Zea mays: one gene and its partner. The protein of the gene in region 2 interacts with the protein of the main gene of each other region in a pairwise test. Links are inferred from orthologs where the notes say so. Each region holds a gene or a part of one and is shown on either strand. Other genes may lie near its edges.

Region 1 (5,071 bases), about 4.4 Mb from region 2:
TTGCTTGTTGGTTTACTCTTCTTAATTGCAGGTGTAAACAAGGTATAGGGAAAATAAAACTACTCAACACTCAATATATGGGTCCCATCAAGTTAACCTAACATGATGAGAATGTAATAGTAAACATTATATATGACAAAACAATGTGACCAAGGACACAATGCACAAAGAGACACAAAATTTAGACTAGTTCAGGCTCTCGTCATGAGATAATACCTTACATCCGATGTTTTGGTGGATATTAATCTGTTGTGTTCGGGTCTGCGCTCTTGGGGCTCCCCGTCCCTCTTTTTATATTCCAAGGAGGAAGCGGTTACAAGGATGAAAACTAGTAGGTTACATGATAGGTCTAATCTGGTAACCTAGTCGTATGAGATTCCAACTCTTTACAATAACAAATGTGCCTTCATTATCCTTTAGAATCATGTCCTATCTACTTAGGACTATGCCTTGTATGTTGGGATTTTTTCATGTTTGTTGAAGGCTCAGACTGGTCTCTCTTATTATAATAATATATTGGTTATATTTGTACTTCTAGAGTTTTCCTCATATTAAACCTCATAATAATCATGAAGATTGGGTTCATGGACTCTATGTAAGAGACGACTCCGATGAGTGGGACCTACGCATCAACCGTTGCGATTGAGAGTCCACGCATGTGAACACTATTCTTAGAAAAACAAACCTATGGATTACGACTTCGGTCCAGTTCGGCTCGAGCATGGGGAAAGTGGACCGCCCACTTGGCCCACACGATCGAAGGAGAGAGGGGAAAGGAGAGAACAGATCCACGAGGTGAGTTATTTTTCTTTCTGTGTTTCCTTTTCAATTTTAATTTTCATTTTTGAATTCAAATTCAAATCAAACAAATTCAAAGTCAAATTTAAATTCATGCAAACAAGAATAAATGCTCAAGCATGCAATGAATAGACAAAATGTAATATTTACCCACTCATTTATCTTAAGAAAAAATATTTTATCTGTAGAATTCACATAAAAGCAACAGTTGAAATAATCTTTTGGAGAAATTTATGTAATTCTGAAAAATAGGAATTTTGGGTGTTACATGGCACAAACCGTATATGGATCGCATTGTGCCTTGTTGAAGCACTATAAACCGTGTCATGTATAGTGGCACCCTATTTAGCATGGCCCACTTGATAGTGATGTCATCAACTTTGGCGCCCAGATATGAGCTAAGTTAAATGAGCTTTTTCAGTGTCGGTTAGTTAGCAACATGACATCACATGTGGTGTTAGTTGGCAACCCGACATCAATCTAACCTTCCCTTGATTTGATTTGTCTCATGGGTGGTGTAGTAGGCTGAACAAATTAAACGAAGTACTATTGAGTCAATGACACTTTTGACCACTCACTGTCACTAGAAGCGTACGTTTGAGCAATCCAAGCATGTCCATTAGTCCACACTATTACCATACAAAGCACACACGTGGATGCAACGCGCCAATGACCAAAGTGTTTAGTGTTCGCACGAACAGCAGCCCGATCCAGGGGAACATGCATGCATGGAACGACCGAGAGGACATAGACATGGATCGGGCATATACTTTACGCATATACGTACGCTTGTCCGCCTTACTTAATTAGTTAGCTAGCTAGCTAGCTAGCTTTATTTCCCCTGATCAGGACGCAGCGGGAAGAGCTCCAGGGTCACATCGTCGTCGGTGTAGTAGTCGTCAGCTACCTCCGTACCGGCATCGTCGCCGCCACCATGGACGACGACATCTTCCCAGGCCCTGCACCTCCGCTTGCGGCTCGATGCATCTTCACACGCTTCTTCTTTTTTCGTCTCCACTCCCTCCTGCATGCATGCATACGTACGTACATATGATGATACTGCTAGCTGTTCACTGCATTTAAATTTATGCATGCAATGCATATATACATAACGCAAGCTGCTGCAATGCATATATAGTTATATACCTTGGTTTCAGCAGCTGGTGGTAGCAGCGTGGAAGCAGTGGTGGTGGTGCTGAGGGTGAGGAGGGCAGCTCGCTTCTGCTTCTGGCGCTCGCGGGCCTTGTGGTTCTGGAACCAGTAGAAGACGTTCTTGCCCTCGATCCGGCCGTACTTGCCGAGCTCCTCCGTGATCTGCTCGATCTGGAACGAGTTGGGCGTGCGCATCCCCCCGCGGTACAGCATCTCCAGCACCCTTATCTGGTCCGGCGACGGGTTCCACCGCGTCGTGCCACCCACCGTCGTCGTCGTCGGCGGCACTTGCACCTGCAGCTTTGATACAATGAAAATTAAGAGATACGTACGTACACCATGCATGCTAGAGATATGTGTTTCTACTACTGTCCTCCTAGCTAGCTAGTACATGGGCTCTCTCTTTGGTTTATAGCCTAACCGTGCAGTTTAGCAGCCTCGAAGAAGCATTCCTGACGCGAGCGAACTCAGGAAGGACGACCATCTTCCTCGCCTCAGGGAAGGAGATCTTGGGCGCAAGCGGGCGTAGACAGTATTGCTGGAGGGCCAGAGGGACGATGGTGGCAGCAGACGACGAGCTGTGACTGTGAGATGCTGGTGAGATGGATGGTGGTGACGACGACGGCGGCGGCGAGCCTGCCGCTTTATCCAAGTAAGCCACATGGAAATGGTGAAGCCTCATGCTAATGAACTCTGTAGATGTAGAGCTACAAAGCTTCAAACTTTGTAGAGCTAGGCGCGCGACCGATGTAGCGGATCGAGCGAGAGAGTGCGTACTATATGTAAAAACGGAAAGCTGAGGGCTAGGGCTATGCTAACGACTACTAGACGAGAAGGGATCGAGCGTCCTCGCGAGTTTATATATGGGGAGACCGGCCGGCCGGCCGGAGACGATCGATCGCTGGAGAAAGAAAGCTAAGAAGGCCGGTGCTGTACGTAGCCGTAGCGAGGGTTTGAGTGTTGTGCGATCGACCGAGACGACCATGCATGTCGAGGTAAAGGCGTGCTCTAGCTAGCTCATGGTCTTGGGGCCGGCGGGCGACAGGGAATGTGGAGATTGCTGATGGATCGGAAGGGCGTCAGCAGCTAGAGCGGTGGTGGTGGTGGTGGTGGTGAATCGCAATCATCAGCGGAGCCACGAAAAGCAGGAGCAGTAATAAAGGTGAAAAGGTAAAATTCTCTCGCATGGAGCTGCCCTCTTTTCACCTTTCCTGTCGAAATTCATGACGATTGACAAGGAATATATGGGGAGAATATATATCGACTCTCTCTCTCTCTCTCCCCGCTCTGTACGTTCGCATGCTGTTAAAGCGGGAGTTTGAATCCAGCCTAGCTACGACCCGGTTAATCTTCACCTAATAACTAGAGTATTCGGAGTGCATGTTACCAGATCACGCGACAGCTAGCTAGCTTTTTCACCTCGCTAATCAAAATGGAGGACGCTTCTCACTACTTCAGTCTTCAGATGTATAGAAAGCTCGTGTCTTCTGTACCTGCAGCTGCAGGTCGGAGTATAGTAAAGTTCATCAGGTAGTACTGTTCTTTTTAAAAAGAGTTTATTCAGCAACCAGAGCAAGTAATTTATTTAGCAACCTTCTAGTCCCTCCATTTTAAATGTGCTAATTAGCCTCGATCTCTTGGTATTGGTATCTTACTTAGGCCCTGTTTGGTTCCTTTAGTCACTAGACTAAAGTTTAGTGACTAAAATTTAGTCGCTGAAGTACCCCGTTTGGTTCGAGTGACTAAACCGGACTAAAGGGCATTAATTGTTGTGACTAATGACTATTTTACCCCTATTAATTAATGGATGTTTGCTATAAGAAGAAAGTGGAGAGGACAAATAAGGTAAAAATACTACTTTAGTCCATTTTAGTCACCCCTTAGTGACTAAAGAACTAAAGTTTAGTCACCCCACTTTAGTCACTATGTTTGCTTCTTTAGAGACTAAAAGTGACTAAACTTTAGTCACTAAACTTTAGTCACCCCAAACCAAACGGGGCCTTACTGTCTACTCTATCTGTATGAATGAATGATATCGTTTTCGTTGGATCGACGACACTCATCTCGCTCCCTTGTCTGTAAACTGGCCTGCACCCCATCTGCATGATTGCGCATCACAAAACCAGATGCGTGAAGGCCAACAAATTAAAGAGACGATGCATGCATATCTCTTGCCACAATCTAATAAGACTGGTTTTGCCATTCCTAGCTATATGTAGCTAGGCACATAGGCCCTGTCAAGATTAGACCATCTAAAAAACCTCTAATATCAGACCATCATCAGTGAGGCTGCAACACGCTAATATATGATTGGAAAAGGCATGCATGCAAACGAGAAAGCGAGAACCAGCATGATGGATGCTGAGGTTGACCTCGGAGTTAGCGCCGCCATCCACCGTTAGACCTACTACTAGCTTGAACAGGATACTGCACAGCTAGCCATGCATATGCATTTTATCTTGTGACCCACAACAAGGTACACCAACTATTCCCTCCGTCCTATAATATAATACATAAACATTTTTTATTCTAGTTCCATAAGAACAAATATAATAGTTGGCTATAAGCCGGCTAAATGCTGATATGGAAGAAAGAATTAAGATGAGGGAGTAGAAGCGAGCTACAAATTAACAACCATCTTTGTGCAAGGTCTGATGCAAGTCCCCGCAAACTGTGCATATATATAAGCCCATTCAATTCCAACGGCTATATGTGTAGTTGGGGCCTATAAATACACACACAACCAACACGTTAAAGACACAAGAGCTAGAGCAAACCTTCATACATTCATCGCAACAACTTTAAGCCATCTAAAGCCTCGCAAGTGCTATATTGAAGAGATTTAAGCTAGAGAAAGTGCCTTGTGTGGGTGATCGTGTTGAGTTGAATGTTGCATTCCTGTGCTCTTGTGCTTGTGTTTCAACTTCCATTCTTTGTGGAGACTAAGGTCCTTCGATTGAGAATAAAGAGAGGGCTTGAACTTATATTTGGAACCGCTCAAGAGGGTTGAAAGAGACCTGTCTTTAGAGACAGCTCAACAGAGACGTAGGTTTCCTTTGAAAACCGAACTCTGATAAAGAAATTGCTTGTGTCTTTTGTGTTGTGATGCTTGCAATTTTGA
Region 2 (5,813 bases):
ATTGTGACATCTCAGAGAAGATCCCATCAAGATTAGCACGGAGCTCAGGACTGAATTTGAGTCTCTTCCCCTGAGCTTCGACGAAATCCTACACACACAAAAAAAAATTCTCACTAAATTGCACACCACCCACCATTCATTTTTCTTTTAAAGAATTCCAGGGAACAGCGACCCTGGCCATACATCTTCCATGCTCACACAAATTTATGCAATCATGCTTTGTTTATGGTGGATGAAGGCGACCAGACCTTAATCCAAGATGGAGGGAAGGAGCCGCGGAGCGCCACGACCCGGAGGGGCACCGAGAGCGCGTAGGTCTTGGTCTTCCACTTCTGCAGCGCAGCCTCCCACTCCTGGTCCTCCTCCTCCTCCTCCTGCGTCGCCTCAACCACCGCAGCGGCCCCCGGAGGGGGCGGGAGCGCGAGGGCTCGGGCACGGTTGGGGAAGAGAAAAAGGAGCGAGCACACGGTCAGCTGGAGCACCAGCGCCGCCACCGTGTTAGGCACCGGCACCAGGCCAGGCGCGTCGGCTTGGCTGCCCGATGGACGCCTCGAAGGCACTGCGGCGAGCTGCTTCGGCTTGCGACGCTGTACGCGGAGTCGGAGGCGGGAGGTGGGCAGGTAGTGGGTAGGGTAGTTGGGGATGAGACCGCGTAGGCAAGGGTGGTGGAACTGGGCGATGAGGAGATGGAGCGGCTGTCCCTCCATTGCCGCTGCCCGGTTCCCTTTCGGAAGCTCCGTCCGGGCAGTGGCCTTCTGCTGCCGATGGGCGATGGGTGATGGGCTTATCCAGTTGTTCTCGCATAAGGCCGGTTGCTAGCTGAAAGCATTTGCTGAAACCTGTGAATAAATGTGGTTGATCTCAAGATCTATCTGACTGTACATGAGCTTATCTTCGAACACATACATTACATGAACTTCTTTTCTTTGATGCCACATGAACTTATTTTTTTGAACAAGCAGATTACATGAACTTCTGTCCATTACTGATAGAGAGCCAACTGCTAAAGCGTATTAGCATTGATCTGTATACTTACCTGACAGTATGATACTTACAACCACAATTAAACATAAAATTAACTTTTACTCCACCAAATAACTGGAAAAGAATGCCTAGGAACCTAATACAAATGCTATAAGAAACAATTTTCTTTGAACAAACACATGTTAATATATGTAGCAGCTACAAAGAATTGCTAAAACAAGGTGACAAAACAATGTCCACTACTGCAACTATACCCTGACGAAATGAAGAGCAAGCTTATCCGGCTATAGATCTTCCTGTAGGAGTTTGTTCAACAGAGCAGTCAGGAGTGCATCCCTTTTCTCTGCCCGTGTTTCTTCTCTCATCCTTCTTTGCTCCTCCCGTTCCATCCACGAGTGTTCCAACAGCAACCTCTCCTGCTCCAGCTTCTGCATTGTCTGCCGCCATTGCTGTTCAAAAACAATCCGCTCCTGGGCGCGTCTCTCCATCATCTCCCGCCACCAGACATCAATGTGCTGTTGTTGCACAAGGAAATCCTGCAGCAGTTCATGTATGCTTGAAAATCCTGCTCTTGATTTCCCAGACATTCTTTGATGTTGCTGTTTCTTGTCGTCAGCTTTCCTCTTCCTGCTGGGCAACGGTTTCTCCTCATCACTTTCTTCACCACCATTGCCCTCGTCATCAGACAGCCCAGATGACCGGTCACCACCAGGTTGCTTCAGTTTCCTTTTGACAGAAGCCCCAGATTCAGACTCAAGGAGTTGTCGTTGCATATCTCTTGCACGGTCTGTGAAGACGGCATGCAGCTCATCAAAGAAGGGACACTGCCTACCATTTTCTGGATCAGAAGTTTCTTTCCCCTGATGAAATGGAAGGATGCATAACGTATGAGCTTGTGCTTACAATAAACTAAAGAATGAAAGTACTAACTATTTGTTGAAATCACAAAGCAAACAAGGTGGACAGACCACAAGGCAAAGATGAACCAACTATGTGTCCAAACAATAAACAATCGGCCAGTCTCTGTAAGTAGGAACTGGGTTTTCTTGAGCATAAAAGAAGAATACATTATAATGCAAAGCTTGAAATTGGACCCACCACCCAACCAACCCAACAGCAGAGTTAATCTGAACCTAACATGGAACTTCCAATTTTTCATTAGCTCCTGATGAAAAAAATATAATTGATCTATTTCCTGACGTTATCATTGAGATTGGGACAAAATACGAAGTCTTTTATAACTATTGCAGCAGAAGACCAATATTACATGACTATTGTGGTCAGCAGGAACGTCGGCAATAATGTACAGCTTTTGCACATTTTTCTCTCAATAAACCTAATCAACGCATCCATGCTCTCTCTCGCACACACCTAACAGGTAGTATCATAATTTTACCACCACTCCCTCTTTTTGCCGGTGCAGGACAGATGTCGCACTCTGAGACAGTTCAAGTGCAATTTCTCAGACAAACTAACCAATGTGAAGAAAGCCTCCTTTAGGGTTCACAATGAATCCACGCTCTCAAAAAGTGAAAATCTAACTTTAACTGAACCACCAATTCTGGACAATTTGCCACTCAATTCCCCTCAAACCCTTGAGATTCCACATTGACTTTTCATGCATCATAGACTCACAATCAACAAAGATAATGGTAGGTGGATTCCCCTTTCTATCACTAGCAATAATTCACTGTACTAGATAAGTTATCCTAGTTTCTTAGAAATATTTGTGCCATGTTTTCATTTCAGAACAAAACAAAGTGGAATACACCTTTTTAAATGCCAAAACATACAAAATATAGTAACAAAAGCAAGCATTGCTTCTATGTGAAATTTGTGAAGAAAACTTGAAAACAGAAACAACAATTGGACTAAGAAAGTTTTTAAAAACCCTAATGTGCTGTAAATTAATCAGTACTCTCCCGTTCCAAATTATAAGATATTTTAGTTTTTCTACATACTTTGCTTTTACTATGTATCTAGACACGGTGTATACCTAATTACATAATAAGTGCATAACAAAAGCTATGTATTTAGAAAAGTCAAAATGTATTATCATTTGGAATGGAGGCGGTATGTACTATCCATAGATCTTAGCATTACTAATTTACTATCCACCTACTTCAAAATGTGCAATTGAAAGCATTACGTTCCAACATGTGTGGCACAATGCAAGGATAAATTCTGCAAAATCAGTTTTCTTTTCTCTACTTATCATGAACATATAAAGACTAAGATTTCTGAATGCCCTTCACTGATGGAAATGGTTGCGCAAATAATGCAGCGAAGGTGAACAAGGGGAGTTGTGGACACACTCCTAAACAACTCAAAGTGGACCTATCAAGATAGAAGACCAATTTGGGGACGCTGAGCCTAAAGACGAAGTCACGAACCAGCAATGCATATCATTTTGCCATCAACACAAGAACAATACAGCAGAACATCGTTGTCTGGTGGTCCAGAACAGACCGGCCAATCTAGCGTTACGAGACTAGGGTAGAAAGTTATCTGCCGGACGAGGGATGAATGCCTTGTAGCGGTTGACGAGGTTCTTCCACTTGCACTTGCACTGCTCGGCGGTTCGTCGGTAGCCTCGCTCCCGGAGCCGCGCCGCGACGGCCTCCCACATCGTCTTGGCGCTGCGGCGCGCCGCGACGGCCTCCCGCTCCATCTCCCTGCGCGCCACGATCAGCTCCCGTGTCTCCTGCACGCCCCACTGCGGCACCCTCTCGTCCCTTCCCCCCGCTCCCGCGCCGCCGGCCTCCATCATCTCGCCGCCCCTCCAGCCCCCGTCTCCCCAGAGGCCCAGAGCGACTTGCCCAACGCCAGCACTCCCTAACTTTCTTGCCTCGATTGCAACGGCGAGGCAGCGGCGGCGACGGGGGACAGCAGATTGCAGGCTCTGCGCCTCTGCCCTTGCTTTCTTGCCTCGATTTCCTTGCTCCCCTCGTTTTTCTTCTTGCTTCTCGCCTCTGCCTGCCTCTGCCTGCCATTACTTTTCTGCCCATTCACACAGCTCGGTCTCAGAGAACGGGGCCTGCCGCATTCACACTAGCTGTCTCCCTGCATCCATTTTGATTTCTTTTCTACTCTTTTTCATAGGGGAAAAGGGGGAAATTGACGTTGTTCATTAATGCAAGTGGGCTTTTAGCTGGACTAGACCCTACCGGGTCCGGGCCCGGTGCCGCCCAAGATAACGAGATAATATTCCCTGTCAAAACAAAGCATGTATACTCTAAGATCACTCTTAGACTATTTCTATCAGCTTACCAATCCCTATACTTATATTCAAACCCTATTTTACAAGCAGTGCACTCTACCGTACAAAACAGTTTATAAGGGTAAATTTTAGGTAATTTGCTGGAGTCCGTCTTAATAGAAGTTTCATTATAAATTTCATAAATGAATTAGTACACTATATTTATTATGAAATAGGTGAAACTAGTTTCATCAATATAAAACTATATCAACTCATTTCCAAGGTATTAAAAAGCGTTTGAAACTACCATTAAGACTAACTTATTTCATCTGCATATTTTTCATCTAAATCTATTGACTGTTTAGATGTAACATTTAAATTTTAATCACACGTTAGTCTATAAAATTATTTTATGAAACTCTTTACTGAGAAAACATATTTTATTCTATTTTTCATCTTACTCTTATTGACTGATAACATTGAAAATGGTGTGATAAAACTATCACTAAGAATGACCTAATGCACTCCCAAGAAACAACAATGCTGGGCCCAGATCAGCAACAGCTATTGGAAGTTCAACCATGGCCAATGGGTACAAATTTGCACGACAGCAAGAGCTGAAATTTCACTGGTTTCAAAAAAGAAAATCCCATTCAAGACAATATGGGATGGACAATATAAATTTGTTCTTATATTAGACTAGGCTAGCTTGCTACTGTACCCACTACCAACCCTGCCGGATGAAGCTGGTCATCACGCGGTGGCTTCTGTAGAGAGGCACATGGTGCTTTCTACAGGCTGGGGAAGTTGGAGCTTCCAGTCTGTTGACGCCTTTTCGGAGCGCCAAATACTCAAGAAGAACCGACGGCGGTGGTCTCTAGTCAGGCGCGAACGGTCCGCGGCCTGGGGCCGGATAGTCCGCGACCTGGCGCAGGGGCTAGGGTTTCCTGCCTGACGGCCGGACGGTCCGCGCCCTGGGGCCGGACGGTCCGCGCGTGCGCAGGGGCAGCGGAAGATCGCCGGCGGCGCCTGGATCTCGCTCCCGGGAGGGACCCCGTCGGGGAGAAGAGATCCTAGGTGTTGTCTAGGCTCGGGTCGGCCGACCTAGACTCCTCTAATCGGCATAGAGTCGAAGAGAGGCGAAGAATTTGGGGATCGAGAGGCTAAACTAGAACTAGACTAGAACTACTCCTAATTGTACTGGAAATAAATGCGAATAGAAGTTGTATTGATTCGATTGATGATTACAAATCAGCCGTAGACCTCTCTTTTTGAAAGTTGCCTAGAGGGGGGGTGAATAGGCAAGTTAAAACTTTTTCAACAAAAACTAGAAGCAAACTGGGTAAAACTGAATTGATCTCAAAATTCACCCAGTTAACTTTGGAAATGAGATGTTCTAAATGATCCACAGGGTTCAAAGTAGTAGATCTGAGAAGGGCACTTCTCAAAATCCACACACCAAAAAGATATAAACAAATCTTCCACGCAATGGTGAGAGAACGAAGAACACAAACACACAATGAGCAAGAACACAAGAGACACAAGATTTATCCCGAGGTTCGGTCACACCACTAAGGTGCCCTACTTCCTCGTTGAGGCGCCCACAAAGAGTCGGGTCTCTTTCAACCCT

What was found.
Region 1: the proteins of Trihelix transcription factor GT-3a (region 2) and WUSCHEL-related homeobox 4-like interact in binary tests that used the Arabidopsis thaliana proteins (3 or more experiments, as listed by UniProt). The link is inferred for Zea mays from reciprocal best matches to the Arabidopsis thaliana genes AT5G01380 and WOX4.

The regions. Positions count from the first base shown.
Region 1 is NC_050105.1:147,565,454-147,570,524, forward strand, and holds WUSCHEL-related homeobox 4-like, read right to left. Parts: upstream 3,013-5,071; 5' UTR 2,633-3,012; coding exon 2,372-2,632; intron 2,245-2,371; coding exon 1,945-2,244; intron 1,823-1,944; coding exon 1,631-1,822; 3' UTR 1,470-1,630; downstream 1-1,469. UniProt on the Arabidopsis thaliana protein: Promotes differentiation and/or maintenance of the vascular procambium, the initial cells of the developing vasculature.
Region 2 is NC_050105.1:143,199,092-143,204,904, forward strand, and holds Trihelix transcription factor GT-3a, read right to left. Parts: upstream 3,901-5,813; 5' UTR 3,755-3,900; coding exon 3,515-3,754; intron 1,845-3,514; coding exon 1,269-1,844; 3' UTR 1,003-1,268; downstream 1-1,002. Other genes in the region: putative putrescine-binding domain family protein, read right to left, coding at 1-88, 249-707. UniProt on the Arabidopsis thaliana protein: Probable transcription factor that binds specifically to the core DNA sequence 5'-GTTAC-3'.